3 linked regions of the Arabidopsis thaliana genome follow. The protein of the gene in region 2 interacts with the protein of the main gene of each other region in a biochemical or structural test. Each region holds a gene or a part of one and is shown on either strand. Other genes may lie near its edges. The genes, in order: GRF5, TUB1 and AT4G14330.

Region 1 (10,013 bases), on a different chromosome or scaffold from region 2:
TATGCATCAATAATTAGATACTCTTTCGCAAGATAAGAAAAGCATCAAAGAAATGATAGTACCAAATGTTTTCATGGAAAGAGACAATGATAAAACTCTTCTATTATTGTTTTTGTAGATATGTTACATGATTCATTTTAAGATTTAAGATTCTTTCATGATATATGAAACATAGTACACATGACCGTCTATGACTATATATGAGAGTATTAATCATAGAAACACAAAACCGTATTTCTTGAAAATATATCTCATTAGGCCCCATTTCATGATTTTGTCTCCAACTCACGTGACTACCATCCATATTCTGTATTTTCTCTGTACATTTATCTAAATATACAGTTATAGTCACTCTTATGATTATGAGTAACATGTTATTTAGGAGTAAGTTTTTGTAACTTGATAAGGCACTGATAGCAATCTCATTCTATTCAAACTCGATTAGAGACCTTAGAAGTTTGTTTCATCAAGTCTCACCAGTCCCCAACTTTACATGTGGTTTTACCTTTGAGAAAGAAAAGAGATGATTTACGTTTGTATAACTATTATCAATTGCTGTTTTTGGACATGAAACTGTAGATAATTTGCCAAAAGGCCAAAAACACTTGTAAGGAAAATAAGTCTTATCTATATTATATATCTAAGCCTTGTTCTTCTCAAGATATTACATGTTAATGAAGATTTATTTGAGCTTTGAAGGATGTGAAGTTGGAAGAGAAAGAAAAAGAAGAAGAGAAGCAAGATATGAGCAACGAAGAAGATGAAGAAGAAGAAGAAGAAGAGAAGCAAGATATGAGTGAAGAAGATGATAAAGAAGAAGAAGACGAACAAGAAGAAGAAGAGAAGACCAAGAAGAAGAAGAGAGGACCTGGATGTTTCTCATGGGTGAGATCAAGACAAAGACAAGCAAGAAAATCAAAGTATATCTTCCCTATTTGTGTTCCTCATCTTGTCAAAGGTTGTTGAAAAACCTTTAAACCGAGAGAATCAATAAAGGTTTAAAGGTTTAAACCATCCTTTCAAAGGTTCCTCTTATTTGTTTCTCTTTTTCAATCTATTTTATATTATCAAAAACAAAATCATGATGATATTATATTTAGTTCTTCCTCTTTCATATAGATTCATCATTCATGGGAGTGTCAAAAGCTTAACCATATGCTTTTGCTCCCCTTTTCTCTATAACAAATGCTTATCTCTAGAGTCCCTCTTGTGTTTTTGTTTTTTTGCTCGCTCTATCTTCTTCATGGTTATTCTGTTTCCTCCTGATCATACTTCCATTCCACAATTGCTAGAGTGTGTCGGCCACCACAAGCTACATGTTTAGCTATCCATTTTCCATCGTCTTCTTCATCGGTGTGGTTGAACCGTCCTTCTGGTGGTGGAATGTGTATAGGAAGCTCCAATGGTTGTCCCGTAGTTACTTTTCTTCCATACCCGAGTCTACCGTGGTCTCCCCGACCAAACTGATCACAGGAATCAATATAAAGGAGAGGTTTATAGATTGACTTTGGGTTTCTAACCAACAATGTTTTATACTCTCTAAGAGGACTTACCGAGAAGATCCTACCGTCTCTTGTCAAAGCGACTGAATGAGTTCCGCCACAAGAGACCTGAGAGGAAAAAAAACAATAAGAGCTTTCAAAGCTATGAGAAGAGTCAAGAACTGGTGGTTTGTACTTTTTACCTGAATGATGTCTTCTCCAGCTAAGAGATTAACTTTCTGCGGAAGCATTTTACTGCTCTTATCATTGTCACCAAACCCGAGCCTTCCATGCTCTCCTCTTCCCCAACCATAAACCTAATATTGGACATAGCCAAGTTACAACATTTTTAGAGTAAAGATCTACATCAAGCTCAGAAACAACCCAGTAATGACTCGATCAAGAGCCAGATGGAATAAAAAGTGAGACCCTAGATTAGTAAGAGAATGTATGACTTCTAATACCTCTCCTTCATTGGTTAAAGCTGTTGAATGCCATCCACCCGCAGCGATATCAACCTAACATGAATTCAGAGGAGGAATTAAACTTTAACATAGGCCTTTATAGTTCACATATCTGAAGGCATCAGTTATAATAATGAGTGCTTAAACCAGAAGTCTTAGACTACATACCAAAGTGAGATCGTCAAGGCCTTGGACAGGAATAGGATACGATCTCGGTTGTGTGTCTCCAGTTCCAAGTTGTCCATATTCATTATTACCCCAAGCCCACAAAGTCCCATCTTCTTTCAGAGCCAAGTTATGAAATGCTCCCACAGCAATCAGACGAACGTTTTCAAGACCCTGAACTCTTACAGGAACAGAAATTTGTTTTCTGCGATACACAGGAAACACCATATAAACCAACAGAAGACAAGAAAATGCAAATGTCGTATCCATAAACGAAAGGAAATTTGGATAATACATGTCACCGGGAGGCCACGGTTGACCCCAAGTCCATACATAACCTTCACGGGTTAGAACCACAGAGTGAGTACCCCCTGCAGCTACCTGTTATTTTAATCATACAAACCCGAGAACAGATGGTTTAGACAGGAAAAAAAGAGAACTAAAAATTGAGGTAAATGAAGAGAGGTTAGCAGCATAAGTAACCTGTCGGACTGTAAGTTGCTGGGCACAACGCTTAGGTATTACAATATCCCTCCGCACAGGCCTACCTGTCTCATCCTTGGAAGGCTCTTCACCACACTGTCCATATTCATTTCCACCTAAGTAGATTATATAACAAAAAGGTGAACAACTTAAGATCATTAAGATCATTGAGGTCACAATCATTAGAAAGAAGCTGAGAGAGAAAATGCATACCCCAAGCATATGCTCGGCCTTGATCATCGACAGCTAAACAATGCCAGCCACCAATAGCTGCCTATGATCAATTACAGAAACGGCAATTCAGAGTAAATCACAACGAGGAAACAGCATTAGAGCCAAAAATACTTAAATAATTGTAAGAAGTTTTACCTGAACAATCTTGACGTTGGCAAGAGACTTAACTAGACTTGGGGTGCTTTCTGTTTTTGTCTCAGGTGGGTGTCCTAATGTACCCCTTTGATTCCAACCCCATGTAAACAGCTGAGAAACCATTTAAGAGACCATATTATTTCTATATGTTGGTGACACATCAATCATAAACTACACCATGGAGACAAGAACCAGAGTCTGATGATCTATTCGAGAGTAACCTCAGACAAACATATTGGTTGCATTTTAGTTGGACTTCAGGACAAGAAAAAAAATACGAGCTTTAAACCCTTTTTAATTGGTCCTACAGATCTCAAAAACCCTATGTAAAGCGAACTAAGAAAATCTTAAAGACATGGCTTAGAATCAAATCGCAAAATCAAAGCAAAGCATTGTACTTTAGTTAGTTCTAAGCGAAACCAACCAAAGAAGACACAACAAGGACACATAAAGGAAATTGGATAAGTAACCTTGCCATCATCGCAAATGGCGAGGGAATTGCGGCTACCACCGACGACGGAGCGAACGTTGAAAGGCTCAAGAGCGTCGACGACGGAAGCCAATTCCTTTTCTTCATCGGTTCCAAGTCCTAGTTGCCCATCTTCTCCAGAACCCCTGTGCCAAAAAATCAAACGAAGGAGCAATAGCACAAGTCAGAAACAGTAATGGAGAAAAACAAAGAGGTAGAATAGAAAGAGAAATGACCAGGCTATGACGGAAGTAGCTGAAGCCATTGAAACAAAAGTGAGAGATACAATTACAAATGAGAGAGAAAGAGATATATATGAAGAAACTCAGTGGAAAAGCAGGGCACTCTCGGTGGGATTTCAATTCGAGATATTATTATGTGAATGTGTCATTACATTAATTATTTATTTTGGACCAGTTAATGTTACCTCCCATTCCCATGTCATTTATTAATTAATCCAACTTTTTAGCTTATGGTCATGGAGGATTTATGATTTGTAATTCCATTATATGTGTTACCTAACAGTTGTTCCAAACCGAAAGAGGCTTTATCTTTCGTTTAAAGTTGTGAAATTCCATTTCTATTTCGTTTCATTGAACAACTCTCTTGAGTCTTAACCAATTCCATTTGGGGAACATTCCACCTAGAGAAGCATAATCTAAAAGACAACTAAACCCCAATCAGAGAAGGAAGCAAGTTTTCAACTTTTAGACCGGACCATGTAATGCAATGCAGTCTAATAGTGAAACCGGCAACAACGACAACAACCAAAACATGTGAGAAGCACACAAAGAGTTTTAACCATCGATAACCAAATCATGCAGCTACAATTACTACTACAAATCCATGTTTAAGGAAACTACAGCCCATGTTTAAGGAAACTACAAGGTTTTTTTCTGTTTAAAAACACAGAACCAAGCCATATATTTTTTTGTCTGCAAATCATTCCATGGATCTGATTTTATCACTGCGAAGGTGGTGGTTGGGCTTGTTCATCAACTTTCTGCACCTCTTTCGGGGCTTCCTTGATATCATCACCAGCTTCGTCCTGGAGATTAGATATTAGACACAAATGTTATGCGAAAACCAACAAGAATCTTAACTGCATGATGCAATCACTAAGATATTGCTAACAATGATGAGTGTAAAGAGAGACAAGTACATTGAGGTCAGAAGTCCAGAGGGTGAGATTGTCACGGAGAAGCTGCATGATCAATGTACTGTCCTTGTATGATTCCTCTCCCAATGTGTCTAGCTCCGAGATTGCCTCATCAAAAGCCTACCACCATGAAAAATCATATTAGTAACTAAACAAAAGGTACTTGAATCAAACTAGAATCCGAATGTGAAGGTTGTCCAAATTTCACTAGTGTATGGAACCATTCACAGGATCTAGTTTCCCAATTCTGCCCATCATCAAAATTAACTACAACCCTATCGGTCAGGCTATGGTAAGCAATCTACAAACCATTACTAGAACATATGGAAAGTCTACCCACATGGAAGTGTAACAAGTTAACTACGTAACACGTTTTTGCCACATTATGAACGATAGATAGAAAAAAAGAACCTCTTATGTGCTAAGTTTAATCAAGCAAAACAGTTGGAATATAGGTTTGTTAGTTAATGACAGAAAGCATAGCATAAATGAAAAAGTAACACAGACCTGCTTTGCGAGACTACACGCACGATCAGATGAGTTGAGAATCTCATAGTAGAAAACAGAGAAGTTAAGAGCAAGCCCCAGTCTGATTGGGTGAGTGGGAGCCAGATCAGCAAGAGCAATATCCTACATAAAAACACAAACACCAATAGCATGAGACAACATGTTATCTTAGCACTCTATATGGTTAAGAAGAAGAAACAAGATGATAACCTGAGCAGACTTGTAGGCAACAAGAGTGCTCTCAGCAGCTTCTTTCCTCTCAGCACCAGTCTTGAATTCAGCAAGGTACCGATGATAATCTCCCTTCATCTTCAGGTAAAAAACTTTGGACTCAGCCAAAGAAGCAGCAGGAATGAGATGAGCCTCAAGAAGGTTCAAAATGCCATCACAAATCTTGCTGAGCTCAGTTTCAATCTTGCCTCTGTAATCCTTGATAATCGAAACATGATCACTGTTGCCCCTGCTATCTTCCTTCTGCTCAATGGAAGAGATAATCCTCCAAGAAGCTCTCCTAGCACCAATCACGTTCTTGTAAGCAACAGACAAGAGATTCCTCTCTTCAACAGTAAGTTCCTCGGTCTCCACGGTCTTTGCAACTTTCTCCATGAACTCAACCATTTCCTCGTAACGCTCAGCTTGCTCGGCTAACTTGGCCAAGTACACATTCTCTTCCCGGGACGAATCAGAAGACATCTTTGCAATACTCTTTTAAAAACCTGTTTTCAACAAGAAAATATCAAGCAGCAGCAATAAACAAAGAGCACGAAATAGAACTCAGTAATGCTGCAACAATCTTGCATTCAAGAGCAACGATAACAATCATCTCTAACAAAATTAATCCACGCACCCAAAGAATAAAAAACTTTGACAAACGATTTACACTGCTAGATCTATCCAAAATCGATAGAACGAACTTTGAATCCTACAGATCTTGAAGTGATGACCAAAACGCGAAGATCAACAACATATCAACAATAAACGCAGAAAACGAGAAGCAGAAAAAACATTGTCGAAGTATGAGCAAGGAAGATCGGAACCGTACCTTGAGAAATGGGAATTTTCGAATTAGGGCTTTTGAATTCGAAGCGAAATTAGGGGAAGTGAGAAATTTGGGGGAGACGGTCTCGTGACCATTAAATGGGAAAAGAGTAAAGAGAGAGAGAGGGGCAACGACCCAATTAAAATACGACACGTGCTAATCTGTTGACCGTCAAAGGACTTAATTCTCGTCCATAATTTTAAATTGAAGTGGGTGAAATGTGACGAATCATAAGTTAATAAGGTCATTCATATAATACAAAAATATTAAGGGGGCAAAATGGCAATATAAGTTAAGTTTCCTTGGGGTAAATGACGGATTTACCCTTTGCCCTGAACCCATTTCTAGTCCCCTTTGCCCTTTTGATCGAATTGATCGGAGAAGGCCGGAAAAGCTCGAAGGTCCGTCGTCAATGGGTAGCTATGTGGAGCAAGCTCGTGAAAATCACGTGAAGAAGAAGGTCGAAGAAGGTAATTTGACAATGTCGTGACTTCTTCATCTCGCTATGTTTTAAAACCCTAAACCCCCAAATGGTTTTTTTATTGCCTCGAAAATGAGATCAACCATATCGATACTATTTAAGCCTGGTTTCTTATCATAGACGCAGATTCTTTTGCTAGATTGAGGATTAGGGTTCTCATAAACCCTTGGTAGTAACTCCATATTTTGCATCTGATCTAGCAAGCTCTCATTGAGTGTGTCAAATTGCTTCTATGAATTGAGCTTATAGATTGTGTTGAAGTTGAAATGGTGATGGTTTTTTTTTGTTAAATGGTTGTTTGATTGATTATGTATATACTTTGTTATTAGCGCTGCGTAGCAAGATGAAGGCAAAGGCATTAATGGAATGTGATCAGTACGTCTCCAAGTATGCTCAATGCGCAACAGGAAGAACTTTTTCTGTGGTATGGACATGTCGTAAGCAAGCTAGGGAGCTCAACACTTGCCTCCATCAATTGTAAGTTTTTCGAGTTTTTAGTGCTCCTTCCATTAGAGGTGTCATCTTTTTTTCACTGTTACGTATAAAGATTTGTTGTGTATGGGGGCATCTGATTTTGATTATTCTTTCTTAATACCCTTCACTGGTAAGTCTGATATGATGAAATGAGACAACTTGTGGTTAGGAGATGCATAACGTTATCATGACGTACCAGTGCTAGTATATATATGTAACCAAATATAAGCTTATAGAAGGGGATGATTGATGATTCTTTGATACTGCGATAAAAGAGAAGTAATAACTATCTTCTATATCGGTGTAGCACAGTCTTGTTCTTGGTGCACAAGTTCTTTTTATGTGACTCCCTAATGAACGTCTCCCTTGTTGGGCCGATGCTTAAATGTTGTCTAACCATGAAACTATTTTGTTGATTCTGCAGCACCAATGACAATGTCTTGGAGGAAATGAAGAGAGCGTATATGGTTCAAGAAGAGGGTAAAGTCTCAGCCTCGGCCATATAGATGTTTGTTGAACAAAAGATTTGAGTACGACCAATATAATGTCCTCGCTTTGTTTCTTGTTCATTGCGAACCAAAATATATCCTTTTTTATAAATAAACTGTGGCCTTTCTTAAATATGGGTGTATTCACTAAATCTAGAGATCAGATTCAAATAGATTTTGTATTACTATTTTTTATCATTTTGCAAAAGATCCACTACATCTAAAGATCAGATTCAAATATGTTTTTCATTGCCAAAAAGAAAAAAAAAACATATGTTTCACAATATTCAGGATTTACACCAAGAAACAAAATTTGAGGTGCTTACAAATTAGAAACCAAGTTAAAAGCAAAGGACTTCAAGCAGTAGGCTTCCTCATATTTCTGCCTGCACGAATCACTTCGTCCACCAAAAGTAATTGCGACGCAATCACTGGCCTGCAACACAAACAAATAGCCGGTTATTGAAATGGTTTCAACCGAAACCCAAAGCTTTTATTAGAATTGACTAGTTGGGTCGAACATTACCCTGAATTGATAAGTTGGCGTTTCACTGAGTAATTATCAAAAATACCAGCAAGCTGCGGGTCAATAGGTTCACCGTCCTGAAGGTTCAGTCCCACAACGTTCCCTTTGTCATGCTCGCTCTGCATAAGCGCATCACAATGAGCAATTCTAATTCTTTGTTCCTTCAACAATTGATTTCAGTTTGCAGAAGATGATAAGAGAGATGAATGCATACCGTAAGAGAAATGATCACATCTTGGGTATCAAGACCTGCATTTTCTGCAAGTGTCTTAGGCACCACGAGAAGGGCATTAGCAAAAGCTTCAACGCCAAGTTGGGCACGCTGCAATGTTCATGATAGTATTAGCAATTTAGAATATTGGGATGCATTAAGTAATGTTGCGAGAATTAGAGTACGAGTGAAGAAATCAACTTACCCCTTGAACGGTTTTCTTGACTTCATTGAGTAAGTGTTGCCTTGCTGCAACTTCAAAAGCTCCTGCTCCCTACAGAAACATGCAACCACACATTAACATAACGCAAAACATATACAATAGGTCTATATGCTAACCTTACCCAGGGTTTTGATCACGAATTAACAATTTCTTTGATATTGCGGAGAAACATAAAGCAATGTTAACAAAAAAACTTCAAGATATATAAGGTACTTACTAACACAACACACTCGTCTTCTATGGTGTTCTTGACCGATCTCAGACCATCACGAACAGCGTCCTTAATTTGGGCAATAGTGTGATCATTAGGCCCTACAAAACCCAAGAAATTCATGAATGAACACTAAAACTACTAAAAGAACAAATGAACCATCAAAACTTAATGAAGACATAAAAGTCGTCCTAATACCTTTTATGAGGATGGTACATGAATTAGGATTCTTCACTTGCTCCACAAAGGTGTACTTTTCCTCCCCAAGAACGTGCTCATAGACAAGTCCAGCCCATCCAAGAGACTCAGGGGTCAAGTCGTCAACAGAATTCACAGCTTCTCCACCACAGGCCAAAACTAAACGTTCCATGTTCCTCCTCTTTGCTCTTCTAAGACCAATAATCTGGACACATGAGGAAAGGTAATTAGATTCAACAGCTTCTAAACAAGAGAAATTAGGTACAAAAGAATAGACAAGCTCAGTCAGTGTCCCAGAACTAAAAACTAATGCTGCCAATCGTCTCCATGGATTATTGTATATCGAAGGAACTACTCTTTTAATATTACTGGCAATTTCAATTCACTTAATAACACATTCTTCCCTAGTATCTTTCTTCTTGTTCCTAAATATCACAATTTCAGCGATTTGTAACATAAGTTTAAATGCAAGAAAACACAGAAGTAGCTTACCCCTTCTCTAGCAAGAAGATCCAATGATGGTGGGTCAATACCCTTCTGATTTATGACAACAAAGTTGTCATTATCACCACACACCTGCACAAGAAATAAAACATGTATTAGTATTTTTTACAGGGTTTTAAAATAAAACTTGGAGAAATGGTCGCAGTCCCACCTTCTTCTTCAGCTCAATTATTTTCTTAACTCTTTCATCAACAGATCGCCTCTCTGCGGTAACCATGGCTTCCCTCTGCTCCGCATTAGAGTAGAAAAATCCTGCATTGATTTCACTGATAGATAAATAGAAATATTAGTCCACATCACCAGAAACATCCAGGCCTTTACTTTCTCTTCGCCAAATTGACCAAAGAATTATATTACACACCTCTTCTCATACTCTAGTGACACATTGCAAGTTAAGATGTGGCAATTTTCTGCGCGTCGTTTCATGTCAGGGTGTCTCGAACCATGATCCAGAACAAGCCCCTCAACCTAATTCAGAATTAAGTCAGTGTTTCCAACAGGTCCATACTATAAACCGGCAAGTATTTCATATATAAACCTATAATGAGGGAACTATTTTAC
Region 2 (10,365 bases):
ATGGAATAACCTGCAACCATATTTAAAAACTCTTCACAACTAAACACTTCAACAATGAAACTCAAAGTGATTAGCAAAGGAAATCTAACAAAAATGATCACATATGGAAACTAATGGAACTAAAGGTTGCTACTTTATAACCCTTTTCAAATATATGATTCACATTCTTCAAAAACACAAGTTGAGATTCTCGAAAAAGAACCAAAAAAGGAAAGAAAGAAAGAACAACTTACGACGTAGTAGATAGCAAAATTGTCTTTGTCGTCCATATAACTAGCTTTGAGCTTAAAACGGATCATATAGATAACAAAAAGTGTAGTCACCAATGTAGCCGAGTCAAGTAACGTGTGAATATCAAACTCCATCACAAAACTACAATACAGTCTCACCGCCAAAAACAGAGCTGTTAGCTCTTGTGACTTGAGAGATAATCCTGTCAAAACATATCATTCAAAGATTGCAACTTTGTACGAATTCAATAGCATCAAACAAACCCTAATTCGAAATCGAAACAGATCAGGGGAAAATCAAATTCAATAATCACTAATCCACTAATCAAAACCTAAATCTAGAAACTTCAAAATCAAGAAATCGAATATACCAGCACAAGTCCTCTCCTTGGTGAGTTTATAGATAAGGACGGAGATTCCAAGGGAATGAACAGCTTCAGCAGCGACAAAAAGATTGTCGTGGTCATGAACAATCACTCTCAACAAAACGAGGGCAGTCATGGCGGAGACAACACCGAGAAAACCTTTAACCTTTGGTGGTTGCCGACGAACCCATGTCGTCACGGCGTGGATCGGCCTTGTTGCCGCCTTCATCTTCGATTTCAATCTTGCACTCTCTTTCCGAAAATAGAAACAGTAAAGTCGAAACCTTTAGGAACTTGGTGCGGTGATGATTGTATAAAACCAGATCTGTAGCTTTTATGTAAGAGATTGATCAGGTGATTATGATTATTATTACACTGTTTTTTTGGATGTGGAGTGGGAAACTGGAGAAATTGGTAACGCACCCATTGCTAAAAATCACTCCTTTTTTCTTACAGAACAAAAAAGTCCAAAAGTTTTAACACTTTATGACGGTGACACGTGGATTGTTAAGTATGTTTAGGTGGAAATTAGATTCGTGGTAAGCCAACGACTCTGGTTTAATTTGTCTCTTTGTATTCATAGAGAAACTTTATTGAATAGGTTTTCTTCAAACTTAATGTAAGTTCATTTCAAAATATTTGTAATGAATTGTTAAACGATTATAATTGGATTGTGTAGTATTGATTCATAATTATTTGTATTTTTTTCTTGCATAATTTTATGTGTTGTAAAATGATTGTTTCTACGGCTATGTAAATATCTTGTTTTCTGATTTTAGACTGTATCAGATTCCACAAAATGATTATATTAGTTAGAGTGGTAATTATTAATTTAGTATAGTGCTCTTAAAATGTACTGAGGTGATCAATCCACTAACACTCCCCAAATCTTTGCAGAATCAGTTTTGATCTTCAAGAATTTGATTTGGAATATACGTGCGATAATAGTAATTAAGATTAAACAGTAGATGAAATAAAAATTAGAGCTTTAATTATAAAAATATAGGTTATAGGAAGTTTTAGATTTGATTGATGCAATTATTTCAATAATCGATTTGTTTTTAATAATACAGCTAAACTCTTTCCAATATCTAAATACAATCCCACTTTCCCCTATTTTATGAGGTTCTTGTTCTCCTAATCTTTCCTCTAGTGGTGTTGATGATTATCTCTAATATAGTCAGAAATCAGAATTGTTTTCTTTTCATCCTCAAGTCATTTGCCACTGAACAATCAAATGAAACTTGGTGAGTCAAAAACTCCAAACATAAAAACTAATTAAGAAAAACTCAACACACCTCTCTTACCAAACTTGTTAAGCTCATAACATTCAACATTGGTTTGCTTCATCAGAACAAAGTCTTGTGTGAGTTTTGCTAAGTTTGGAGAAAGAAAGAGACCACCATTGATTTTTGTTGTAACCCATTGCCAAAGCCCAATTTGGATGGAAATTAATATTATACCATAAAAAAAAGATATGAAAGTCGAAAAAATATCAGAAATAAAAATAATTTTTTGTATTTTTTTACATGACATATTGGGGATTAATCCTATTTTTTTACTTCCAAAATTGACTGAAATTAGTTGGCCAAAAAGGTAGTTACGACGAAAACAAGAAACTCGAAAATAAAAAAAATAAGAAACAAAAGACGAGAAAAGAAAATTTAACCAAAAAAATGTACTGACACGTGTCATAAGCTTAGACCCATCAAATTATTATATGAAAAATAAAAACAAACAAAATCTTCTGAGAAAGATTTATCTCATTAACCCAATCGTTTCAAGCCGGGAAGAAGAGAAGACTATTCATTCGTGTCTCTCTTCATTCAATGTCGAAGAAGAAGAAGACACAGAGTTTATCAATGGAAGATCACCGTGACGGCAAAGGCAAGAAGAGAGATGATTTTTTCGATAGCATTGACTACGAAATTTCTTCTATCTTATTGCAACTTTCACATCCTGTCATATTCTCTTCTGATTCTCCTGTGTTACATAAATGGGGTCGCACTAAAAAGAGGTCTTCTTCTTCTTCTCACCTGCATCCGCCGGAACCGGTGATAAAATCGCTGCCGTGTATGGCTGATGTCGGCGATATGGGAAGTAATTCGAGTTCTTCGTGCTTAACCGGTGAGGCCAAGAAAACCAATTCTCAAATCGTAAGTCTTAATTTTTCTCAGTTTAAACAGAGACTTGTTTTTCTTGTGTTTGTTCTTAAATTTTTCTAATTTGTATCTGTGTAAAATTCATTATGTGGTAAATTTGGTATTGAGTAATTGTTTTTTGTGTTTGTTTTTGATATAAACGACAGATTAAAAAGGGTTTAGAAGAAGAATTTTGTAGGAAAAATCAGAGTTCTTCAGTCCTCGAGGTGTTCATTGTTACCTTTTTATTTTTTGTTTTCCCTTTTGTATAAAAAAATGTTTAGCATTTTTGATATTTGTTTCCGTTTTGATAATATTCTGTGGAGATACAGGCGGAGACAGGTTTACTTAGGGAGCAAGCTGGTTTAATAGCCCAGCCCATAAGATACGATCAACAACTACCGTTTTTTGCGGTTGATCGTACGGTCAATGTGAGGGATGTTGAAACGGCGTCGTTGCGAATGGATAACTTGGAACGACGTGGCTTTGATCTGAACCTTCTTCCAGCAGCAGAGGAGGGTTTTCAGAGAGTGCCAAATAAAGTCCAAGTAGCTGCTCAAGCAAGACAAAGAAGACTAGGTTTGATTCGATCTAAGAAGCTTTTTAATAGATTCATCTCTTCTTATCAATTTAAGTAGTTTTTGATAAACCTTTTTTTGGGGTGATAATTATATAGCAGAAATAGCAGGATTTTGTAACGAATATGCAACCAAGTTTCCAATGTTTTGGTTGTCTATACTATAAACTGAAAGGATTCTAAGAATCGTTTTTTTGAATACTATGAAATAAAAGGCTAAAGAGGGAGATACGTGGACAGACTCTTTATTATAAAGGCAATGAGAAGAAAAGAAGAAACTAAGTTGCAAAATACAATAAGAGAGAACCACAAAGATAAAGTAACAAACAAACAAACACATTTCCCAGATTCTTCAACTTGATACATGTATATATATATATAGTGGTAATAGTAGGAATAGAGATTTCAATAAAAGAGATAGAGATGTGACTTCTGTGTTTTTTCATCTTTTGGTTTGTGTTGTAAGATCAAGATTCGTAAACTTGTTCTTCTTCTTCATCATATTCGTCTTCTTCATCAGCGGTAGCATCTTGGTATTGTTGGTATTCAGAGACCAGATCATTCATGTTGCTCTCTGCTTCAGTGAACTCCATCTCGTCCATTCCTTCTCCTGTGTACCAATGCAAGAAAGCTTTACGCCTGAACATAGCCGTGAACTGTTCGCTTACTCTCCTGAACATTTCCTGGATCGAAGTCGAGTTTCCGACAAACGTGGAAGCCATTTTGATTCCAGTTGGTGGAATGTCGCAGACGCTGGACTTCACATTGTTTGGGATCCATTCAACAAAGTAGGATGAGTTCTTGTTCTGGACATTTAGGATCTGTTCGTCCACTTCCTTTGTGCTCATTTTTCCTCGGAACATGGCTGAAGCTGTGAGGTAACGTCCGTGGCGTGGATCAGCTGCACACATCATGTTCTTAGCGTCCCACATTTGCTGTGTCAGCTCCGGGACTGTGAGAGAGATGTACTGTTGAGAGCCACGGGAAGTGAGAGGGGCGAAACCAACCATGAAGAAATGTAGACGAGGGAATGGGATAAGGTTCACGGCGAGTTTCCTAAGGTCAGAGTTGAGTTGTCCAGGGAATCTTAAAGAGCAAGTCACACCACTCATAGTTGCGGAGATCAAGTGGTTCAAGTCTCCAACTGCAAAATGTATATATATATATGAACTCTTAGAATTTAGGAACCAAGAAAACAAAGTAACAAACATTAAGGTTTTGATGGTACTTACAGCTAGGAGTGCTGAGTTTGAGAGTGCGGAAACAGATATCGTAAAGAGCTTCGTTGTCGAGGACCATGCATTCATCAGCATTCTCTACAAGTTGGTGGACTGAGAGAGTTGCATTGTACGGCTCAACGACTGTGTCTGAGACCTTTGGAGATGGGAAAACAGAGAATGTGAGCATCATTCTGTCTGGGTATTCCTCACGGATCTTTGATATCAAGAGAGTTCCCATTCCTGAACCCGTGCCTCCTCCAAGAGAGTGACATACTTGAAACCCTGTAATACAGAAATGTTAAGAACAAGTGTGAAACAATGTACTACAAAACTAAAGAAGTCCCTTATACCTAAACCAGATCCAAAAAGTATTGAGATGTTATTTAACAATTGCTGAAACCAATCATGACCCACTTGCTTATTCAATTATATCCCCACAAAGTGATATGTTTCACCTCGAAAGTGTCAACACAAGAGTATTCCCTAAAGTTCTTATTATAAAATTCGATATGGTTTTAAGGTTTCACGTGATATTGTTGATCCACAGTCACAAATCTGGAACAAAACATTAGGGGACACTAATACACTACCGCCAAATTAGGATATTGTCCTTAGTTTCAATGATGTTAACTTTTTACTATAAAGAATAGACAAAATCTAAATCCTAGCCAATCATTAAGTGTTAACAGCTCACTCTTAAACAGTAATCAACAGGAGAGAAACACCATAAAAACGCAAATCAAACACAAGAACATCGACGGATCATGTTCATGTAATTCATAAACTGTAATTGGAACCATGACCATGAAGAGATCAATGAAGAGAAACGTTAATCAAATATCAAAACACGATATGTGAGAGATTCACTAGTGCAATGCGAAGATGATCAAAAATCAAACTGAAATCGAAATCATCGGTTACTAAATATGCAACTACATTAACACTCACGAGACGAGATTTAAATGATCGAAACCATCGGATAATTGCAGTTTTGATTCACAAATCAATCAGATAATATGATCAAAGCACCAGCAGATTCATAAATCAAAAGGGAGAAATCGATTCATATATATACCTTGAAGGCAATCACAGTTCTCAGCTTCCTTACGAACAACATCGAGAACAGCATCAATAAGTTCAGCACCTTCAGTATAATGACCTTTCGCCCAATTATTTCCGGCACCGGATTGACCAAAGACGAAGTTATCAGGACGGAAAATCTGACCGTAGGGACCAGATCTGATACTATCCATAGTACCAGGCTCGAGATCCATGAGAACAGCACGAGGAACGTAACGACCACCAGAAGCTTCATTGTAATAAACATTGATACGTTCGAGCTGAAGATCGGCGGAATCACCGTTGTAACGTCCGGTGGGATCAACGCCGTGTTCGTCGCAGATAACTTCCCAGAATTTGGAACCGATTTGGTTACCGCATTGGCCGCCTTGGACGTGGAGGATTTCTCTCATGATGATGATGATCGATGAAGATTTTGGGATCTGGAGATGGTGAAGGAGAAGAAGGAGGAGAATAAGAAGGGAGAGGGAGAGAGAGAGGCGGGAGAGTTTTTTTTGGGAAGTAGTGACAAAATTTGACAGCGTGGGGAAGATGGGATCTTTGCCAGCTTTAACCGTTTGTTCGTTTTTTATCCTCTGTTTTTTTTACTATACTCTCTTTTTAAAAAAATGTTTTTTTTTACCATTTGACTTTTTTGCTGCAAACAAAAATGTCACATATTGTTGTTAGCACCGTCAAATTGAAATTTCTACAAAGTGAATGATTAATGTTATTTAAGATATTGTTGAATTATATCGTCCATTTAACTATTTAAGTGTGATAGCTTTCAAGTATCGATCATTCATTCTAGTTTCAAATCTTGATCCATTTGATGAATCTTTTACTATTCGAATTTCATCACGACTAGCTACAACCACCCTTGATTATATGTTATGACTTCTGAAAACATCGAGAAACAAAAATTCAATAATAGTGCGTAGAAGAAGACGATCAATGCGTAATGAATACAGTAACTTTGCATGTAGTATCTTAGTTGTTTTAGTGACATAGCACATGTAGCAAGACGTAATAAACGATCTGGAGATCTTGAATGCATATGTACCTATTTCTATGTAAACGATCAAACACAATAATTGAAATCGGTTGAATGATCAAAAGTATAGAAAAATATCATCACACTGATTGTGTTTGGATCTTTTATACAATATTGATGATAACATGAAAAACAAATAATGCCATAGCACATGTAGCTAGGTAGATGTAGACTGTAGTAAGATCTGAGATTTGATCCAATTATTTTTTCATTTTTATTTATGTCATGGTCGATCTACTGTTTATACGTAACGTCAAAATCAATAATTGAACTTGTAAAAGGATCCTATATTTTTTAAAATATATATTTGTTCTTGGTAAATTACTTGCTCCCAACTTATTGTGAAAACGTATGTCACTCAAGGGAACATAGAGGAAATGGGAGCACGTTAGCTGTTCGTATGTGGCTACAATATCTTCTTATAGAGCACGTTAGCACTCACCAAGTCAAAACAGACCTGGGCCGGTTTGCAGATAACAACTGTGTGAGCCCATTAAAATCTAAAACGGCATCGTCTAGTAGTCTTTAGTCGCAATCAAACCACAAACCCTAAGATCATCTCTTTAAATTACCATCCGTCTTCTGCAATTACACAAGTGATTCGAATCGCAATCAAACCACAAACCCTAAGATCAACACAGATCCTAATACTCTCTGATCATTCCTTTAAACCGTTCTTTAGTTTTGCTAATTAAAATAGACTTTTCTAGGTTTTATTATTTCAGACAATTAATTATTATCGAACTTTGCCACAACGGATGACATTTCCCGGTATCGGATTTTCATCTCTAACCGGAATAGTCGAAGGATCTTCTTCTCCTTCACCTTTAACTCTCATATAAAGCTCTTGACCAAGATACCATTGCTCTGCTTTCTGTGATCTCACGTTCCACATTCCTTGATTATCCATAGCTATCAATATTGCTGTCCACGAATATGGATAAACCTAAACACACACAGAATCAATTAACCAAAACTAATCACTGGTTTAATACTTTAAATTACGAGATTAGATATGGCTTAACCTGAACTGTTGACCGTGAAACAGCATCTACTAAGTTATATCCAGCTTTTTTGCTTTCAGACCAAGCTCCAAATCCATATCTAACATTAAACTCAAATAAAATTAGTACACCTAATTTAATCATCATACACATAATTATGATTTAAATATTGTAATTTTTACCCGACAACGAAGAAATTGTAACCATCGATGTGATAACTCTCCAATCCAAATAGAGGGTTCTGGAACACGATGTGGATGAAATCTTTGTAATGAATATCGACCACTGAAGTTCCAAGAGTCGGTGTTTTGTTGGATGGATAAACCGGGAACATGCCAGGGATTATCGTGTCATTTAGCTGAAAATGATCAACGAGCTTTAACGGAGTCTCGGGGTAGACAAACGAAACGCCGTTAATCGTATACCGTAGTTTGCCCGACGATAACATAACGTCGTTATGTAATATTATCGTTCTGGTTACGTTTATTCGTCCATAGTGGTACGAACCTTGAGGGTTCGATCTTGCTGCTCCAACGTTCAGGTCCATTCTGTGTCGTACACTTAACGTTTATTAGTCAAGAACAAATACTAAACGAAATATTTCATATAAAAGTTTTTATTCTTTGGTATAAAAAAAGAGTATTTCTTTACCTAATGGAAAGGGCTTGTTCAACTGAGGAACCAAAATCTTGCAAAGCAGGTGCGAGTGGACCTTGTCCGACTGGGTCAAGTGGGGAACCGGGATATCGAATTAAAGCTATACCGCCAAGGTAGGAATCAGTGAACCGAGCTGTGGCGAATATGTAGTAAGACCGGTAAATTCCAACCGGGTCGGTTTTGGCAGTGACAAGAATAGAGTATGATTGGCCTACGTGGATGTCCAGGCTCGAGTAAACACGTTTTTGAACATACGTACCCTCTGTCTCAACTAGAAGCATATCGTGGTCTTGGATTCTGAAGTTTAAGCATGTTTTGAGACCCACGTTTGATATTCTTAGCCTATATGTTTTGCCTGTGATTATATATAGACAACATAAAAAGAACATTTGTGTGTAAACTACATTATTAAAGATATAATGTAATATTTTTAAAAGAAGAAAAAAACTCACCTGGTTCAAATGCAAAGAAGGTCTCTTCAGGGCCACGCCCGTTAAAAAGAATACCATCAGGATTTGGCAAACTGTGACCAGCGTCAAGTGAAGCTCTCATAACCTTACACCAAAATTTGGAAACCAAGTGTTAATTATGCAAATCAAGCAAAACATCTTTTACAATGAAACTAATAACACATTCAATAAATGGGCAAGATAAAACTCAATAACCAAAATGATTATGATCTACAAAATTAGTTTTTTTATATATAAAAAGGATAGTATTGGAATGTAGGTTTGATGATAATACGGTAATTTATCAAAGAAACATACTGTATGGTCGAGATAAAACCAATCTCCAATCAAGATGTCGTATTCTTCGTCGGGCTTAGGGAATGGGACTGGGACAAGTTCTGGGGGATAGATTCTAATAGCACCGTATCCTCCGGCAGCTTTCTGAAGTAGAAGGGTCGGAAAATAAAAGTAACTTCCAATTTGATCCTTCACCTGAAAACGGTACGTCCAATTTGTCCCCGGTAGTATGGGACAGTTTGTCCCTCGAACTCCATCTTGCCACGAGTTCTTCCGCAATTGCAATCCATTCCTTTAATTTACATAGAGGTTTAATAACAATTATTCCTAAAATTAACCCAAAACAAAAAGTTGAAAATATATACCAAGTCATGAGGAAGGGTTCGGGCAAATTGTTGAAAATGTTAACGACAATGATATCGTTTGCTGTTGCATTAAGGATCGGTCCAGGGAACATGTCGTTGATCACTATAACCTATAGATTTTTTTTTTGGTGAATACTATAACCTATAGATTGATCATGCATCTGAAATTTCATATAAGATAGCTAAAACCATATTATTGTAACAAATAAAAACATATTCAAATGAAAATGGTTACCTGCTTGTTGCCTCCAAGAATGAAACGTTGAGAATACGAGACGACCCATTGATACGATGAGATTGGTGCAAACGCATAGCTCAACTCCAAGATGACCAAAGAGATCAGAACCAACACCTCGACAAAGACATGTCTCATCGCGAAAAGAGTGATTTAAGAAATTTTAAGATGCTTGTGATGTGAAAAAGAGGTGTTAGAGGCAAGACGTAGCTACATATTTTTCTTTGGAACAATATATTAATTAGACGACAACTATTGTTACTCTGTTTGGAGTTAACGTTTGTTTTGTGCTATGTTTTTTGAATATGATCGAAAAGTTCATGCAATCTGCATTTCCAACCTAATTTATGGGCAGCACATTTGTGCTTTTGTTAAAATTTGCTGGGCTTATTCATTATACTAAACCATGCATAAAGGCCCATTAAATATCTTATTGTAATGTGACGGACGAAAAAAAAAACGTGAGGGAGGACGATGGCAATTGCTTACGATATATTGTAAAGTGGATGTGACCTGTCTGTCTACACAATATTACAAAGATGGTCGCTATTACTCCTACAAAAAATAATACAACGCAAAACAATTATTGAAAAATTATTCATCACTTTTGTATCTTTCAAACTTTCACAGTTCACACCACCTAAAAAACAGTAAAAAGTAACAACATTATCACTTTCCACAACAAAATATCTAACAACTTTGAGTATACAGA
Region 3 (10,955 bases), on a different chromosome or scaffold from region 2:
CGTGCCTATCTTATTCATGAAACTTGAATTTTATGCTGCACCAGTGTTTTCTTATAGATCGTGTTCAATACTTTCCTTTGTGCACTCTTCTTCCAGCTTGCTTTATTAGTATTCCTTGCAATTTTGCAGGGAAAACAAGAATCTTACAGGAACTGCTCGGTATGCAAGTGTGAACACACACCTTGGGATTGGTAAGAGCTGCTTTCATCTCATACATCCGTGGATTTCTTGTCAGAAGCATTTGATGAAAACTCTTATCTTCCTTTGCTGACTCATTTTTTTTATGCATACTTACAGAGCAAAGTAGAAGAGATGATCTGGAGTCACTTGGTTATGTGTTGATGTATTTTCTACGAGGAAGGTAGTAAAAGTTTCTTGGTTGTATATTAACTTATAACTTCATAAAGAAAACGAAATCCTTAAACTCGAGTTCATGTTTTCTCTTGTATCAGTCTTCCGTGGCAAGGTTTAAAAGCTGGTACGAAGAAGCAGAAATATGACAAGATTAGTGAAAAGAAGATGCTTACTTCTGTAGAGGTACATCATTGTTAAGGTTATGTATGCAGATGATGTTTTCAGATGTCCAGTAGTTCTGACATAGCATGATTTTACGTTTTTGCAGACTCTTTGCAAGTCGTATCCATCAGAGTTCACATCGTACTTCCATTACTGTCGTTCATTGAGATTTGAGGACAAACCGGATTATTCATATCTGAGAAGACTTTTTAGGGATCTTTTCATTCGTGAAGGTTGAAACTTCTTGCTTTGTTTGTTCTCTATTCACTCTCTATTATTAGATTGTTTATGGTCTATGCAGTCTAGTGGGATTAAAAGAATCATCTCTAGCTTTCTTATACGCATTTAATGGAATGGACTATGCAGGTTATCAGCTTGATTATGTGTTTGATTGGACAATCTCGAAGTATCCTCAGATTGGCTCTAGTTCGAGACCAAGGGTTAGTTCTATTATTGATTTAACGTGTGGAGAACCAAGTCTCAGAACAATTGAATAATCCAAAATCTTATCCTGCTATGTGTCTATCATTTACAACAGCCAACTCCAAGACCAGCGTTGGACCCTCCAGGACCACCTGCAGAAAGAGCTGAAAAGCCTACAGGTACATTGATGTTCTCTGTCTCTTATATTGGAGGGACGAATACAAAGAGATATATCAAAAAGTTTATTTTAAGTTGTAAATTTATGAGACAGTGTTGACAATTTTGGGTGCTGAAAAACGTGCACTATCTCACTTGACCCTTCAGATATTAACATTCATATGTTGTTTCCCTTAGAAGATTTTGAATTTGTGTCCAGAGATTTAATTAAATTGTTGAATAGTGGAAGATCTCAAACTGAGAACTTCTTTCCCTATTCTGTTTAGTCGGACAGGACCTGCGAGGAAGATTTACAGGTGCAATTGAGGCATTCACCAGACGAAATGTTTCAAGCCAAGGCGCTCTTGGTGATCGCTCTAGACACAGATCTTCTGATGATATACCCTCTTCTGCCAAGGAAGTGGTTAGTTTGTGTTGTTATTTCTCTTGTTGTAATGATCCAAAGTAATTCTCAGAATAAGTAGGGAATCAGAACATGAGAAAGTTTGTGTGTTTTGATTTGCTGGCTTCATTTGCAGCACGAGTCTCGAAATGGAAGTACCTCAAAGAGAGGTGTGATATCAAGCACCAGACCTGGCTCATCAGCTGAACCAAGCGAGAACCACTCAAGCCGACTATTTTCAAGTGGTTCACGTCATGCCACAACCCAACGGGTTCCACAGAGCTATGAATCTGCAGCTGCAGCAAGGCCTGGGCATGAGGATGCCATTAGAAACTTCGAGCTCCTTACCATCGGCTCTGGAAAGAAGAGGAAATGAAGATAGGGAAGGAGAAGTTTGATGAGAGTGAAAAGACAACATTCGGTGCTGATGGCTCTCTCCTCTGAAAATAGGAAAGACATGTCCTCGAATTGTTTTTTAACCTTGGGAACAAGATGAGAAAGTGAGAGAGAGAAAGAGAGTTAATGTAATCTGCCTCTCCCAATCTCTCAGTCTCTGTTTTTAAAAGAATCTGTTAATAAAGCTTTAAAGTGTAACTTGTCTCATGTGTACTTCAATTTTCTCCTCTTTCTGTTCTCTAAAACTTCGATGTGGAAGTAAAATATGAAAACCTATCTCATCTAGTCATCTTCTCCAACCTTTTAAACTGTATATCGAAAACCAACGTGCCTAGTCAGTCATATTATGGTCGAATAAAAGAAAGTTTTAGACTTTGTTGACAAATCTTGTTGTACAACTTGAAAAACACTCCATGCTGATGGCTCTAGTCACTCACTTTGACTGCTGAAAGTGGTCGTACATAGCGTTTTTTTTCTCAACACCGAGAAATAGACAGGCTACATACATCTTTCAAAATAATTGAGTTAATTGGTTGTTGTTCTGTATTCAGCTAATGTAATAAAGATGAATCATCATATATTATCCATAAAAACATCAATAACAGTGGTCTTTTACTTTGGAGATAATGAGGTTGCAGAAGAATTGAGTTAATCTAGTGTGTAACTAAGAAAGTGACTGAGTACCTGTAGATAAAAGAAGACATTTGGTCAATGCATGCATGTGAGCATATTGAGAGATAGGGCTTAACTAATGAAGTTGCTTTTCTATAATAGGGCTTGGCTTTCCCTTGCAGTTGCAGGTAATCTTTGCTTCCGGGATATTGTTATTTTTAAGAGCCTTTGAAATTTTTGCCCTTGTTTTTGGTGTTCACGTTATGATGATGATCATAAAGATATTGGGGTTGGAATTGAATAGGGCTTTTGGAATTTGTCCATATGTTACAATGACAGAGAGAGGTAAGAAGTAGCTCTATGTGGCTGCAGCATTCTCTCTACTTATGTATATGTTATAAGTAGAACTAAGCATCCTTTGGGAAACACCAGTTATACGTTCTGATAAACACCACTCTGCTGAAACATCGTAGAACATATATATAGCTACAAAAGTGGTCGTACATAAGAGTTTTTTTTTTCTCAACACAGAGAAATAGACAAAGGCTGCTACATCTTTCAAAAGCTACCTTTGGACAGACAAAAGAAGAATAGAGAAAACAAGACATAGCGACTAATGTCTTCTGAGAGTGATGAATGGAGTGGAGCTGAGATGAGCTACGAGATTGGGTGATGAAAATTCATCAACTTGATGGTTCGGTGTCACTTTTGAGATGGGGGTAACTTCCATCATGTTTTCTATGGGATTAAGTGGAAGTGGGCTTGCAGGTTGAAGACTTTTATGTTGTGAGCTCTTTCCTGGTCTCAAAGTGGCGAGGTATGCGTGTCCGTTGCAGAGAGGTAGGCTCGTAGCTTGAACTGTTGATTCTTTCTCCTTTGCCACTTGAGCTCCACATGGTTCCTTCATACATTGAAATAACTGCATTTAGGATCAGAGCATAACAAACAGATAAAAATGAAAAGCTTTTTGTGCTTGTTGGTTCAAGTTTATTACCCCGAGCTTGAGAAAGGTAAAAGCCTGATTATCAGATCCAAGGTAGATCTCAATAAGCTTCCTCAAGTCAGCTAGTGTTGCATCCTTTGTAACTCTCAGTGTTGTTATGAGCTTTCGAGGGTTATCAGCAGCTGTTTCCCATTTAACATAGATATCTAGCTGACCGTTTTCCCTTTGATCGACTGAGATATTGTTTTCCTTTGCTTCTTCTACTGCTAGTGCTTCGGCCTTATTCGTAATAGAAAAGAACTGATTGTCTTTCTTATCAGGTGATGCAATATTGGCTTGATCCTCCTCCTGTCCACTGTGTTGAGACAGCTCTCTCTGATTGCCACAAAGGGTGAAAATGTTTTGAATTCTCAACCTTCTAGACGAGGCTGATTCCTTGTCATCTGCACCGTTGAAGCAGTTCTCTTTACCCAAACCTTCAGAGTTCAAACTAGGCATTGGTGTTGTTATCAAGCAGATGCTTTTATCCTCGACTATCACTTTTTCTTCCTCTTCTTCAACTTCTTCTTCTTCAAAGACAGTGCTCAAGCATACCCGGTCAGGATACATCTGTGTAAGCATATTCTCTGAAGGCTTCGGTTGCAAAAGGTTAGTGAAGTTGCTACTAATAGTGTTGCTTGATTGGTGTGAAACAGCTCCCCACACTTGCTTGACAGGTTCTGGATCACCCATGTCAAGGTCCATTGACTTCACCATACCAGGATCATCATCAGAGTAAAGACTCCTGAGTCTTTTGGCAAACCCACTAGTTTCATCAACACTTCCTCCATTTGAGCGGCGGAACTCAACCTCGATTTCCTCTAACCGTCTCCTCATCATCTCCAGTTCCTCTTGCTGCTGAACTATCCTTTCCTCCATTCTCCTTCTCTCCATCTCAACAAATTCCTCAGCCATTCTTCGGCATTCTTCAAGTTTCTTATCTAGTTCCGACTTCAAAAGCTGGGTTCTCTCGTTTACTTTCTCTTTTATCTCCTCTTCATTGGTAGCACAAGCTTCCCTCTGTGTTAAAAGAGATCTTAAAGCAGCAACTTCCTCTTCCTTCTTCTTCAGCTGCTTTTGTGCCTCATTCCTTTCTTTTTCTTTTTGCTTCTTCTCAGACTGGAGTTTGATAATGAACTCATCCATGGCAGCTATTCTTGATCCCAAAATCACAGCAGAAGCAGACTCATCACCCCCATACTTATCTTTGTTTGGAGTATGAGACCCACGAACTATGCACTTTGCTTTTGCCCCATACTCTAGAGTACAGAGAGTCTTGTGCATTTCCTTTGGATCCGGGCTCGCACACAGGATCATTAGAATCTTTGACTTGTCATCTTCAAAAGAGTCCTGCATTCAGAGAATAGAAACAACACTAAATATCTTCAAGAAAACCAAGCAACACGTAAAACATTTTCCAGAAGATAAAACAATGGAACAAGAATTTCACCTGGAGAAGCATGGTCAGCTTGCTGTCTCTAAAGGGTACATGAGAATCTCCATTTGCTATAGATTCCACAACTCGCTTCAGTGCAATATTTCCCTGGTTGATCTTAGCAGTCTGTTGAATAATGAGAGATATAAGTCAGTTGATATCCATAACTACAATAACTTTAGTAGAATCAAACAAATTGAGAGAGGAAACATTACTTGCATCTTAGCTTCAAATCCAGTCTGCCCAGCTTGGTCTATATTTTCAGAACCAGCCATGTCAACAAGCATCAATCTTCCCCCAACAGTTGGCACATCAAGTATGATCTACAAAAAGAAACAACCACACTAGTAAGTTAAAACAGAGATAAGCTGCATAAAGCTATGCATACACATCAATCAAGAAGATCGTTCTTACAATGCAGTGACTCCGAGAACTTCTTTCGTTACAAAGTGTACTCTTCACAATTCTCCGTTTCTCCACTTTGACAATTTCTTTAGAAATCTTCCCAGCCTCTGTCCCAGAAATAAAACTTGCGTTTTTCGCCTTTTTCCCCATTACTTCAAGCCTCACCTGTAACAAAACAACAAAGTACACACCTTTAAAGCCAATTCAATGTATACTAAAGTTATCAATCAAGAAACTTTACCTTAGTGCTTGCTCCTTTAGGCCAACCAATACCTAAATTGTTACTACTATTAGTCGAAAGAAGATCATAAATCTCCTCATTATAAACCTCAAGAACAGTAACTTGAACAAAAGTAACACCATCTTGATCAGAATCTCCCAATATATCTCTCAAAGAACGATACACAATCCCAGGCTCTTTCCCACAACCAAACATAGTATGACTCTTTCCAGCACCAGTAGGTCCATACATCATAATCGTGCATTTATTCCCAACTTTCACTCCTTTAATCCTCTCTTCTATAAACTTCTTGTAGAACTCTTCAAGACCTTCTTGCTCCGAGAAAGAAACACCGTCGAGTGTGAAGTCTCTGTACCCAACATCAGCTCTGACTCGTACCGTTTGATTATCTGTGTTGACTTGTAAGATCGAAGGTGATTTCTCTTTCCGGTCAGGGTAATCTCGGATCCGGCCGATTACTTCAACTGGATGCTCCGGTGGAGATGGATCTTTAGATCCGTCTGGGTTTGGGGTTTTTGAGTGGAAATTGAGACGTTGTTTTGTTTGTGGAGTTCTGATTAAGGTGTATTGAGTTTGATTTGATCTTGAAGAAGATGGTGTCGGTGCCATTGTTGAAGAAGTTTCGAAAGAGTGAAATTGAAATTGAGATTCAGAGAGCGTTAGAGAGAGAGAAAATGAAAAAGGGGATTAGGGTTTGTGAGTGATTCACGAGGTTTGAAGTTTGAAACAAAGAAACAAACATAACCGTTGTGTTGTATCTCTAAACGGCTAGTTTTTGTCCACGGGCCACTGATTATTAACAATTTTTATTTTCGGCAACTAGAATATATTTACTTTCTTTTAAAAAAGGGAAGTGAGATGGGCCTGACTTTTTGATTAAGTTAATGGGCTTTTTGTGTTTATAGAGGCCCAATGTTTGTAGTATTAGGGTTTTCTCAAATGTCTCTCTTATAAGCTCTGTTACTTTAGGTTTTTATTAAAGGTTTTGCGGCAGTGGAAGACGACGGCACGAGCTTCACCGAAGAGCGAAAATGGTGACTCTCTTCTCTTTCTTTATTTCTGCTAAATTTCTCCTTGGTTACTATTGAAGAACGAGATTATTGATTATAGATCTGCTGTGTGATTTTTCTTCTTCTTTAAGTTGTTTATTTCTGATTTTGCATCTTAAATCGAGAATTATTAGAGTCTAATTGTGATTTTTAGAATCTGTTATGTTGCATTCTGTGTTGTAAATTCGAAGATTCAGTTCACTTCGTCTCTGTGAAGAGTTTTAGCTCCAATCTACCAGAGATTCAAAATGATATAGTGTTATGTATCTTCATTTGTGTTGCTGCAATTCTGTTCTGATTTTTAGGAGAATTAAGAAGGATTTGTACTTCAGGGACTTGTAGGATTCACAAAATGGTTATCAATATTGACTAGTTGAGTAGTCAGATCGTATGGTAGCAATTAATTCTGAATGATTTAGGAGAAGCAGGAAATTTTATTAACAAGTTTTAGGGTTTGTTCTGAAGGGCGTATTTAGATTCACTTCTATGATCGTAATTAATTCTGTATGCTGTTGAAACTGTATCTTGTGGTAGTTTTAAACTTGGTTTTCTGTAGGTGAACATTCCGAAAACTAAGAACACTTACTGCAAGAACAAGGAGTGCAAGAAGCATACCTTGCACAAGGTGACGCAGTATAAGAAAGGTAAAGATAGCCTTGCTGCCCAAGGAAAGCGTCGTTATGATCGTAAACAATCTGGTTATGGAGGTCAGACCAAGCCCGTCTTCCACAAGAAGGTATACTCGCTTTTCCTTGTCTTGATCTCTAATTACTGTCTTCTATGTGAGAACCAATTTAGGATTTCAGAATTGACTCTGTGAAATATGTCTTATAGGAATGATTTGTTAATTGGACCTTGCTCATTATTTGTCTTTCTTTGGAACAGGCTAAGACAACTAAGAAGATTGTGCTGAGGCTTCAATGCCAAAGCTGCAAGCATTTCTCGCAACGCCCGATTAAGGTAATGTCTGCGACATTCTTTACCTTTGTTAATCACTCTTTAGTCTCAGTTCTGTTTCTTACACTTTGTGTGTGGTTTTTGCAGAGGTGCAAGCACTTTGAGATCGGTGGAGACAAGAAGGGAAAGGGAACATCTCTCTTTTAAGTTGTTGTTTCATCTATCTACTTTTTTTTGTTTTGTTTGGTACCTGTCCTGCTTCAATACTGTGATATACTTTGAATCTACCAGAAATGGTCCTGGTTTTTAATTTAAATAGGACTTGGTCTTATGGATGTCTTTTAATTTGGTTAACCAATCTTTCTTCATTAGGCTGCCCTTGAGTATTCTCTATAACTTGCGACAAAGTAGACATAACACTCTTTAAGTTCTAAAAACCACTTTCTATTTTCGGATCTCGAAAAATCATTTATCGTTTTGTGCTGCAAATCAGTGTTATATATGAGCTTGGCAAATTAAAATGACATATACGTATAGAAATGAATTGATAATACTAAATATTATTTGTTTTCTTCTTTTAACTTCAGCCATACTAACTTTCACTAAATTTCTTAAGAGCATACAGAAGTTTCTCCTCGGTATATTGGTGGTTCTATATTCCCCGCAACGTGAATGGAAAATGAAGGTTCTATTTTGGCTATATGATAATCATGCCATTAGCTGACCCGAAACTAATGTGTTACAATAAAACCAAATTATATAAATAGAAGAACATGTTTCCTGGCTCCTTATTGCACAAAAGAGAACATGAACAACTCTTTTTATATTACCATGATAGTCCTATGTGTTTTGGCCTTTGTGTTAGTTTTAATTGAGAGCTGTGCGGGCAAAATGGTAGATGAGATGATATTCTCTTGTGTCTGCTGTGGTGGTCCTGGCTGCTGTGGTGATAGAGGAGAAGGACCTGTTGGTGGTGGTATTGACAATGAACCGGTGAATGTAGTAGTGGTGGTGGTGGAGCCAGGCAGCCAGCGGCGGAAGATGTGGTGACGGTCAAGGATGCTACTTCAGTTTTTCTTTTTTTACTTTATTATACTTAGATTCTGGTACTATATATATTATGGGTATAGATAATTTACACTAAAGTTTTATTTCCGTTATTTAAAATTCGTGTTTTATTTAATCTCTAATTTTCTGTTTCCAAGTCGAATTCCTCTGTACTAATTATACGGCCTTTTAATTTTACAATATGAATAGCCATTTTCTACTAACACATTCTTACCTTTTAGAGGTGTTAATTTTAAGGTAAGTTTCTTCTCTACAATTACGTAATATCATTCAAATCTGTTCATGCTGACAAAAGTTAGGTACTTTTGTGTATATTTCTCGATCATTGACATTGTCTACTACGCTAATATCTAAGGAAAGTGGCATCGATTCTACTTGCTTGTAAAACATACATCGCGATGTAAGTCAAATTCTCTAATAATGTAAGAAACGAAGTGAGAAAGAAAGATAAATCCAAAAAATTTACTTGCAAATCAATAGAGATCCAAACCAACTGCGCATGCGTTAGTCAATTGATATATTGTATATAATAGAACAAATACAATTTTTGTTTTTATAAATGTATAACCAAAAACGTAAGAGCAATACTATCGAAATAAATACGTACTGCATATTACACGATAATAATAGAAAGAGATTTGATGTTTGATCACTTGGAAGTAAAATGGAGATAGAGAAACACAAAGAGCAATACGACCGGAAACATCAAGATCATTGGAAGAGATGGTGCAGTCACCGGTCCCATCATCAACGGAACAAACAGTAACATTAGTGCAACGACAACAATCGCCAAAACCGAACCCATCCCGAATCCATACTCATTCGCCATTTTCGTCTACTTTTCGATAGGAGTAGTGATCAATTCTGTGTTAGTGTCTCTAATTGGAGAAGTTATATATACACAGATTCAGACATCAAATCTACGGTTGTGTCGTTTCCCCGAGAAGTAGAAGACAACGTTTCGTGTACTAATGCATGAAACACAAAAACTGGCGAGACCTTTCACGTTAATAACCACCTCAAAACGCTGCGTTTCGGTTTATTTGTTGCTGCCACGTGTTTTAAAAACAGCATACCCTAAACGCATCGTTTCGTGTCGCAATCAACTATTCAACTGTTACTGTATATTTTATTAAAAACGCAGCGTTTTAGTTAACAAAATTCGTGTCGCTATTTCTACACTGCCACGTGTTTCAAAATGTCGCGTTCTGCATTTGTTGCTATCACGTGTTTAATAAATTTACCTAAACGCTGCGTTTCGTTAATCAATCGACTTTTTGAACATTCGCGATCTCCAAAAATTTTGAGTTTTTTTTTTGGAAATCCCGCCCAAATATTTTGAAATTGAAACTCTAATAAATTTGTCGGCTTGTGGAGTTGCGGTAGTGATATCCTCCATTTATCGTTTTGTGCTTTTTCTTCAAAAATCAAAAGCTTTTATTTTTCCCCCAAACTTTTTTTTCAAAATCCTAAATCATTTTACCCTACGATTTTGCAGATGTCAGCTTCAACGAATCGCCGCCGGCTAAAAGATATAAACACCGGCGCCGGTGAAAATCCATCATCTGGTAAAAAACCATTGAGGTCTGTAACTCCACTTCCGATCTCAAGCAAAAATTCAAATCCCGCTCTTCAGAAATCATTATCCAGCAAAGAGAATCCGAATCCGAAGCTTAGTCACCGCTCATTTGGATCGACTCAGAAGCCAGTGCTCCGGCCTGTACCGCGCATTGATAAGTCCGCCGTGAGTGGCGAGGGTCGGGTTACGCGATCCACGTCATCTGGTTTGCGAGGTAGGAGTTCTAGTCCATCTGATTTGATTAGGGTTTTCTCGGATTTGAGAAAGAGAAATGAATCTAGGGTTATTGGGGAAAAGGGTGAATCGGGTCAGGATAAGAAGTCTGGGCTCAAGAGTTCTGGATTCAAACAGGGTACGAGTGAAATTAAGGTTGAGCCAAGTAGTGTTTGTGAGAAAGCAGATGAAGGAAGTAGTTGTCCAGTGAATTCAAGCAAATTTGAAGGTTCTAGTGTGGCGAGAAATTCAATTTCTGATCCAAAGGCACATGCTTTAGTTGGTTCTGGAGAGAAATCTACTGTTGCTTTGAAATCTGATAGTAAGATTGAAAAGACTGGGAAAGGGACTAGTGTAGCTTTAAGAAGGAAGTCTTTGGATAATGTTGGGAAGGCAATGGAGATGTCAAAGGATATAAGAGGAAATGAAGGAAGCAGCAATAGTACTGCTAAGTATCCAAGCAAGCTGCACGAGAAGCTTGCTTTTCTTGAAGGAAAGGTTAAGAAAATTGCATCAGATATCAAGAAGACAAAGGATATGCTGGATTTGAACAATCCGGATTCGTCTAAGGTTATAATCT

The links.
Region 1: the proteins of TUB1 (region 2) and GRF5 form a complex in vitro, tested with the Arabidopsis thaliana proteins (one study listed by BioGRID).
Region 3: the proteins of TUB1 (region 2) and AT4G14330 form a complex in vitro, tested with the Arabidopsis thaliana proteins (one study listed by BioGRID).

What each region holds. Positions count from the first base shown.
Region 1 is NC_003076.8:5,239,613-5,249,625, forward strand, and holds GRF5 (general regulatory factor 5), read right to left. Parts: upstream 6,227-10,013; 5' UTR 6,140-6,226; intron 6,131-6,139; exon of another isoform or gene 5,945-6,130; intron 5,814-5,944; 5' UTR 5,791-5,813; coding exon 5,308-5,790; intron 5,221-5,307; coding exon 5,098-5,220; intron 4,711-5,097; coding exon 4,594-4,710; intron 4,480-4,593; coding exon 4,396-4,479; 3' UTR 3,943-4,395; downstream 1-3,942. Other genes in the region: AT5G16030 (mental retardation GTPase activating protein), read left to right, coding at 700-966; AT5G16040 (Regulator of chromosome condensation (RCC1) family protein), read right to left, coding at 1,248-1,463, 1,554-1,610, 1,685-1,798, 1,946-1,999, 2,114-2,315, 2,406-2,491, 2,594-2,709, 2,807-2,867 and 3 more; AT5G16060 (Cytochrome c oxidase biogenesis protein Cmc1-like protein), read left to right, coding at 6,549-6,606, 6,947-7,094, 7,516-7,597; AT5G16070 (TCP-1/cpn60 chaperonin family protein), read right to left, coding at 7,937-8,015, 8,106-8,224, 8,320-8,427, 8,522-8,590, 8,757-8,851, 8,949-9,153, 9,441-9,524, 9,604-9,718 and 1 more. UniProt on the Arabidopsis thaliana protein: Is associated with a DNA binding complex that binds to the G box, a well-characterized cis-acting DNA regulatory element found in plant genes.
Region 2 is NC_003070.9:28,447,598-28,457,962, forward strand, and holds TUB1 (tubulin beta-1 chain), read right to left. Parts: upstream 6,224-10,365; 5' UTR 6,006-6,223; coding exon 5,609-6,005; intron 4,816-5,608; coding exon 4,546-4,815; intron 4,458-4,545; coding exon 3,781-4,457; 3' UTR 3,541-3,780; downstream 1-3,540. Other genes in the region: AT1G75760 (ER lumen protein retaining receptor family protein), read right to left, coding at 1-10, 234-433, 602-824; AT1G75770 (uncharacterized protein), read left to right, coding at 2,425-2,751, 2,904-2,963, 3,069-3,374; AT1G75785 (protein TUB21), read left to right, coding at 3,878-4,101, 4,132-4,195; sks18 (SKU5 similar 18), read right to left, coding at 7,383-7,592, 7,672-7,750, 7,833-8,198, 8,302-8,662, 8,760-8,862, 9,075-9,345, 9,419-9,528, 9,654-9,791.
Region 3 is NC_003075.7:8,239,451-8,250,405, reverse strand, and holds AT4G14330 (P-loop containing nucleoside triphosphate hydrolases superfamily protein), read right to left. Parts: upstream 6,354-10,955; 5' UTR 6,179-6,353; coding exon 5,570-6,178; intron 5,494-5,569; coding exon 5,338-5,493; intron 5,247-5,337; coding exon 5,139-5,246; intron 5,050-5,138; coding exon 4,939-5,049; intron 4,839-4,938; coding exon 3,501-4,838; intron 3,408-3,500; coding exon 3,120-3,407; 3' UTR 2,912-3,119; downstream 1-2,911. Other genes in the region: CKI1 (casein kinase I), read left to right, coding at 130-191, 298-361, 453-537, 623-749, 883-956, 1,055-1,118, 1,383-1,519, 1,635-1,874; AT4G14320 (Zinc-binding ribosomal protein family protein), read left to right, coding at 6,601-6,603, 7,175-7,354, 7,504-7,578, 7,663-7,684, 8,381-8,565; AT4G14315 (uncharacterized protein), read right to left, coding at 9,233-9,412; AT4G14310 (Transducin/WD40 repeat-like superfamily protein), read left to right, coding at 10,082-10,955. UniProt on the Arabidopsis thaliana protein: Probable plus end-directed motor protein that may contribute to the transport of Golgi-derived vesicles in the phragmoplast.